2 linked regions of the Drosophila melanogaster genome follow. The protein of the gene in region 2 interacts with the protein of the main gene of each other region in a pairwise test. Each region holds a gene or a part of one and is shown on either strand. Other genes may lie near its edges.

What was found. Proteins that work in one complex are often made in the same cells at the same time.
Region 1: the proteins of CG17652 (region 2) and CG6733 interact in a two-hybrid assay, tested with the Drosophila melanogaster proteins (one large-scale study listed by BioGRID).

The regions. Positions count from the first base shown.
Region 1 is NT_033777.3:23,095,956-23,099,738, reverse strand, and holds CG6733 (uncharacterized protein), read right to left. Parts: upstream 2,012-3,783; 5' UTR 1,981-2,011; coding exon 1,890-1,980; intron 1,833-1,889; coding exon 1,341-1,832; intron 1,282-1,340; coding exon 864-1,281; intron 807-863; coding exon 602-806; 3' UTR 548-601; downstream 1-547. Other genes in the region: CG6738 (uncharacterized protein), read right to left, coding at 1-20, 75-165; CG17109 (uncharacterized protein), read right to left, coding at 2,626-2,830, 2,890-3,307, 3,368-3,783.
Region 2 is NT_033779.5:1,730,305-1,734,122, reverse strand, and holds CG17652 (uncharacterized protein), read left to right. Parts: upstream 1-1,766; 5' UTR 1,767-1,859; coding exon 1,860-1,979; intron 1,980-2,042; coding exon 2,043-2,243; intron 2,244-2,306; coding exon 2,307-2,720; 3' UTR 2,721-3,090; downstream 3,091-3,818. Other genes in the region: CG31937 (uncharacterized protein), read right to left, coding at 3,174-3,818.

The sequences.
Region 1 (3,783 bases), on a different chromosome or scaffold from region 2:
AATAAACTCCACACAAGCAGCTAAAAATGAATAGTGCTAATGCATTTAAGGAAATATTAAAATAAGGACCTTACTATAATCAATATTAGGGTGTACAGATGGAATTCGCAAATACTCCCGGAATATTCGAATTTCCTCGTTCTTTTCCCATTTTTCGGCACTCATTTTTAATATGAATCGTTAGGATGGTAAAGTAGAAATAAGCAGCTAAAGGCATCCGCTGTCTTTATATGCATTTGGATCGTGCCACAAAAGTGATTATGCGTATATGATAAGAAAATCGTTATCAATGGGCGGCAGATCTCTTCCAATTCTGACTATATTGCAAGTCACTTTGGATGGCAGTCGAGGTAGTGACAAGAAGCAGTATAGTTGACAATCTGCTACAGAATTCCCATCAGAATCATTTATATCTTGATCAAGGAGGCGAAAGTCAAAGAATCAACAAACAATATTGAGATAAACACGGAATTTCAAATTAAACTCTTGAATCTTTTTTTTTTTTTGATAAGATTACTCTCTAAAATGAAGATACGAGGCACACTTTAGTAATTAGCCCATCTTTATTATAGCCACGATCCATGTAGTTCAAACATTTTGTTTAGACTTCAGCCAGATTGCGAATAATCTTCTTGTACACATCAATGCCATTAAGATACACATCAGCCTGCAGAAACTCGTCGTGGTCATGGATCCGCATGGTGGTGTTTATAATGGGTGAGAATCCAATGGCTGGGGTACCCTTCTCCCGAATGAAACGACTGTCAGTGGCGCCAGGACAAACGATGGGATGAACCTTCAATCCACTAAAACACAGGAGGATTTCGATTAGCCATTATAGTTAATTTTTAGTCGGTACTTACAGCTCATCGATTGCGGCTTTGACAGCTAGCCAGTAGGGATTGGAATTGTCCAGCTTGGTGGGTCCTATATAAGGCTCCTTCTGGAAGAAATCAATTTCAATGCCACCACCCGCCTCCTCGCACCAATCGCGAATCTGTTTCTCAAAGGCAACCACATTCACAGTAATGGCAATCCGTATGTCGAAGACCGCCTCGAAAAGTGGCGGAACCACATTGCTCTGGACTCCGCCACTTAACTGGGTGAGATTCACGGTGGTCACATCGCCCTTGCTGAGGCTGGAATCTCTCGCAAGGTTCTCCACTTGCGAGGTGCGGAATTCAGTCAGTTTGTTGACCAGATAGTTCAGTTTTACTCCTGCCGTATTGGGTAGCAAAAGGGAACCATGACCAGAAGTTCCACTGACTTTCAGCTTGAGTCCTGCATAAAGCGAAACGGTAATGTCCCCAATCCATCATCATCATCCTTATGGAACTTACCCCATCGCAAACGTTCGGCGTAGAACAAATGATGAACGTCACTTTCACTAGTGGCGCCTTCGTCCAGGCTGAATCCCGCGTTCATTTTCTTGTAGTAATCCGTCTTAACAAACTCCGCCATGCCCAGATGACCACCAGTCTCTTCGTCGGGAACAAAGGTCACATACAAATTCCTTTTTGGTTTGAAGCCACTAGCTTTCAGCAGGCGAATCGCTCCTAGATACTGAGTGCCCACCGATTTCATGTCCTGAGTACCCCGTGCAAAGATCCTACCCTCTTCATCAATATCGGCGGAGAAGGGTTCATGGGTCCACTTCTCTCGAAAAACTGGCACCACATCCGTGTGAGAGTTGAGAACAATGGACGATAGTTCGGGTTGACTTCCTTCCCACTTGATGATCACAACGGGCTTCGTTTGAACAGCAGGATAAACCACTTCAACAGGAAGATTTAGGGAGCTAGCCTGACGTTTCAGGAACTCCACACAGGCAGCTAGACATTGAAAGACATTATAACGCAAACTTTAAAGAATTAAAATTAAGTCCTCACTATAGTCAACATCTGGATGCACCGTTGGTATACGCAAGTATTCCCGGAAAATCTTAATTTCCTCATTGTTTTCCCACTTTTCCGAGCTCATTTCGACACTCTTCTGTCATCAGCAACTGAGCTGCAACAAAGATTGTCTGTGCTTTTATAATCACACTGATTGCTTTCATGTTTATGGTCAAGGAATTTAAATGCTTATCAAAAGTGTATGTGGTTGCGATAGTAACGCCCTTATCTGCAAAACCCACACGTCTATTATCCGAATAAGTAACTTTTCTAAGCGGCAAATAGTTCATTATGTATTATCTATGCAACTTACACAGAAATGAGTTCATTGCGTATTATCTATGCAACCTCAACCTTTGAAACCTCAAGTTCTTGGTAAGTTGTCATGTATTTTTCAATATTTTCCATCATATCGTAAAATTATGACAAATTCAATTAAAATGACGAAGCTTTGATTGATGACCTTCGATTTGAAAAAATCAAGTGATTATTTTGGATTTAATGGGCTTCCCAGTCTTCCAACTTGCTATCTATGATGATACAGCAAAATGTAGATACATCCATTATCTACTTGCTGTCGCAAGGATAGCAAGTTGTATTCTTCAGATCTTAAGTTGATTAAGGTATTCGTTGAGATAAGATAAAAGGCCAGGAAGTTTTGTACTAACTTATAACAAAATCATCAATCTTTATTTTGATAAGGTTTTCATGTATTATTTCGATTTAGTTTTTAGACATTCGCTAGGTTGCCCAAAATTTTCTTGTATATTTGAATGCCCTTCAAATAAGTTTCGGCGCCCAAGAACTCATCGTGATCATGGATGCGCATGGTGGTATTTTTGATGGGTGAGAATCCCAAGGCTGGAATGCCCTGAGCTCGAATGTTCCTGCTGTCGGTGGCACCGGGGCAGACAATGGGGTAGATCTTAAGGCCACTATAAACATACAAATCGTATTAGGAACACGCATTGTTGAGCATTCGATTCAGACTTACAGTTCATCGGTGGCAGCCTTGAAAGCCAGCCAGAATGGATTGGAGTCGTCGATCTTTGTGGGTGCCACGTAGGGTTCCTTCTCGTCGAAGGAGATCTCGATGCCGCCACCTGCCTCCTCGCACCAATCGTGGATCTGTTTCTCAAAGGCAACCACATCCAGGGTGATGGACAGACGCATGTCGAAGACAGCCTCGAAATGAGGAGGCACCACATTGCTCTGGACTCCACCGCTCAGCTGGGTGAGATTGATAGTTGTCACATCACCGATGTTGATTGTCTGATCATTGGCCAGCCTCTGAACCTGCGATTCGCGGAACTCCGTCAGCTTGTTGAGCACATAGTTCAGTTTCACGCCGGCAGTGCTGGGCAGCAACATGGAGCCGTGTCCAGAGGTTCCACTGAAATTCAGCTTGAGACCTGCCAAAGAGGGGATATAGTTTAGATTCTAGTCCTAGATGTGTCTCAAGGATTACTCACCCCATCGCATACGTTCGGCATAAAAGACATAGAACAGATCTATTTCACTGGTGCCGCCCTCGTCCAGACTGAAACCAACATTCATGTTGCTGTAGTATTCCGTTTTGACGAACTCCTGCATGCCCAGCTCGCCGCCGATCTCCTCATCGGGCACAAAGGTCACGAAGAAATTGCGCTTGGGCTGGACACCACTTGCCTTAAGCAGGCGGATGGCACCCAGATATCCTGTGCCCACCGACTTCATGTCCTGAGTACCGCGCGCAAAGATCCTGCCCTCCTCATCGATATCGGCAGCGAAGGGATCGTGGGTCCACTTGTCACGGAACACCGGCACCACATCCATGTGCGAGTTGAGAATGACGGAGGGCAGCTCCGGTTCGGTGCCCAACCACTTGATGATCACCACAGGCTTCTTC
Region 2 (3,818 bases):
CCGTGGTTCATAAAACGATAATGGTCAAAATCGTGGGTTTTGGGGGATCCGGTGTTATAAACTATTATGAAGCTACAGTCTTGTACGCAATATTAATATATTTTGCCATTTGATTCTCCTCTCATCAGAGAGACAGATACTTCAGAGATTAGTCAGTATTGATAAAAATAAATTATATTCCAGAAATAGATTAATTGGACAGAAAGCTAATCACGAGCCATCAATTTCTGTCTGTGCTTCCCCAACAACTCGAATTACACAGAACCTCATAGTTACTATGAATACTAACACAATGCGAATTACTGGTTCTTTCCACAACCATCAGTCCACCCAAAGTTACCTCCCCTCGAACGATGATTACTATGCGTCACTTTCTTTCCATTCAAAACCAGTTGAATAATATGGGAACTGAGCCGCCGAAAAACCAGCCGGAAACAGCGAAAGAAACCGACGAAAAATATGAGTATCGAAAAATCAGAATGCGAGGCATGCGGCACATGACAGTACTTCGTAATAAATCCAATTTTTCCAATAGCGAAAGGTGTGTTCTGGAGGGGACATCAGTGCCGAATCGATTAGCATATGAATACCACTGTGCTTTTGGTCATTTCATTGTGCTCCGTAGCCGGAAAGTTGAATAAACTGCAAGAACCAGCCGCAAAGTGGAGACGTGGAAAGTGAAGATGATCCATCCGAGGAACCCAAGACCCCAGATCCCAGATCCCAGAGGTAGTTGCACCCACGATCCAACCTTCAACCGAGCACAGCTGTCAATGGCCCAACCTTGGGAGATTAACGCTGGAAAAGCGAGGAAAAACAATACTGGATCACACAGCTGCCGCAACTGGTGGCTTTATCGACATGGCATTATAGGCAAACTTGACCAATATTCTTTATCGTTCACGGAAAAAAACTGCGCGAACATTGTATCCATTCGCAAATCGAACTATGTATCTAGAGGTTATGGCAAAACTTAATTATGATGATTAAATATAAATATAATTAAATAATATTTGATATTTGGTTTATTTTTCTATATGTACTATAAAAAAGATAGAATAGTTGAGCAAGAAGACCTTGGTTAAATCCAATCAGCATGATTAGCAAGAAATCCATCAATTGTATGTCAATTGAGCAGATTAAGAAAAAACAAGAAAATGACCAAAGAGGAAAACCCATCACGGGTGAGCGGCCAGGGGGAGGATATAGAAACGCAATAGAGGGTTAGAGGTAACCGGAGGTCGGAAAACTTGATGTACGCCGTAAACAAAGCAGAGAACTGAAGAACCGAAGTATGAAAATTGTAAGCGGCACAAATGTGATATATGCGCAGTTTAACGACCTGGCATCTCAAACTATTACTGCGTTTCACAGGACTCAAAAGTCCTCGCACACAGTTTTTATCTAAACATTTCATTAACTGACTCTTTAGTTGCTAAACACTTTTCACTTTAACTTTTAAACTTACTGTATAAATTGGCACTTTGAAATTGAAGGCTCTGTCATTAAAATTTGAATTTTATTTATGCGCTGTTTGCTGCGCCTGCAACTGCAATGGAAAACCAACTGACTACGCGAAGGGAAATGAAAACAAAGCGCTTAATAGCTGCGGAAAAGAGAAAGGGAGGGAAATTGCTTGAAGAGGGTTGAAAATGCATTCTCTGTTGCTTCCGGTTTGGCGCCAAATGTAAAACATTTCGAATTCAAATAACAGCAGGCTATAAATTACAACAGAGCTGCTGTGCGCACACAGTCTGTTAGGCGAGAACAGCTGAGCTTGAACGCTGTTCAACACTGTACTTGCACGCTGTTTTTGTTTTTACTTGATAAAACTTGGTGACTACCCACCCGCAAATATCATGAAAATATCTCGTTTTAAGAAGTCGCACAAAACTCTGGTGTTTTTTGCCAGCAATTTCGACTACCGGGAACCCTACCAAGTGCTAATTGATGCCACCTTTTGCCAAGCAGCCCTTCAGGTGGGTTATTGCTTATATCATCTCTAGCACTTGTTGATATCCATAGTTAATTTTTACTTTTAGCAAAAGATTGGCATAGATGAGCAGATTAAAAAGTACTTCCAGTGCGGCGTTAAGCTACTGACCACCCAGTGTGTTATTCTGGAGTCGGAATCCCTGGGTGCTCCTCTCACTGGAGCCACATCCATCGTCAAGCGATTCCATGTCCACAAATGCGGACACGAAGGAAAACCAGTCCCCGCTTCCGAATGCATCAAATCGATGGTAAATTGAGAGTTACTTGATTTCAAGTATGCTATAGCCATAAAATGATTACTTGCCTTTCAGACCAAAGACAATCGCTATGTGGTTGCCTCGCAAGATCGTCTGCTGCAGGAGAGTCTTCGCAAGATTCCCGGACGTTGTCTGCTCTATCTGCACAAAGCCACTCCCGTCTTGGAAGCACCATCTAAAGCCTCCAAGAAGTGGGTGCAACGACGGGCCAAAAACCTAATGCTGGGCAAACAGGTCGAGAAAATCGACTACATGAAGGAGAAGCAGGGACTGAAGCCAGCTGAAACTGCAGTCAAACCCAAGAAGCACAAAGGGCCCAAGAACCCCAATCCATTGTCCTGCAAGAAGAGCAAAAAGGACAAGGCGAAGCAACAGCTCAAAGGAGTTGAGCAGACCGCAATAACCAAGGCGAAACGAAAACGAGTCAAGATCCCAGCGCACGTCAAGGCAGCGCTAGGAAAAGATTAGATTAGAATGGTTGATCAAGTAGATAAATATAAGATAATGCAAGGTAATCTGCAGTCTTGACAAATCATTATAATGTGGGAGGAGCTGCTTTAACTAGCCACCTGAGTGTAATATGCCCTCTTCTATAATGGCAAAAAAATCTATGCATCTGAACCAGATGATAGATTACTAAATTACTGGTTAATGACTTAAGTTAACTAGAATATTTTAGAATTCATAAATCTTAATTGATTATTAGCTTACCACAATATTGCTCACCAATTGAATGGGAGGAACTGTAGAATCCCACTGTGCCTGTGAAGATTATCGCGATTGAAACGCACACTCAACTTAATCTTGTGCACATATTTATATATTTTAGTATATAGTTAAGAATTATACAACAGTATAAAAGATGACTGAGAGCCGTTTGGAGCAGGAATAGGGAAGGGGCGAGGCACACCGGGGTTGTTCTCACAGTTTGCCCTCGCGAATCTTGTTCAGCGTCTTCTCGGTCATCAATTGAGCCAGAATCTTGCTCAGCGTGGGATTCCGGGCGCAGTAGGCCAAGAGGTTGACGGGAAAGAGGCCGCACCAGGTGAGATCCATCTTATTGGCCAAGGCAACGGCGAACAGATCGCCACATCTCTGGGCCGTCATCCGTTTCTGATTGGCCGTACTCAGACCCACCTTTCCGCCCTGCGAGCCAGTGAAGGCCTCCTGCAGGAAATCGGTGGCTATGGGTCCCGGTGCGAAGAGCGACACATCCAGCTTGCGCATCTCCACTTTCAGGGAGAGCAAGTAGGCGTTAAGGGCGTGCTTGGCGGCACAGTAGGTGGGTGAAAATGGCACTGGACTGAAGCCGGCGATGCTGGAGGTGGCAGCGATGTGTCCTCTACCGCCGTTCTGCTCCACGAAATAGCGCACCACCAGGCGGCTGAGGTGGACCACCGCAAAGACATCCAGTTCGAACAGCTCCCGGTCCACCTCGATCTCGACTTCGGTCCAACTGGCTCGCTGGGATCGGCCAGCATTATTGACAAGGACATCCAGTCGATGAAAGTGATTGAGCACCGTGTTGAGATGCGTCTTATGCTCGTCGAGATCGAGCATGTCCAT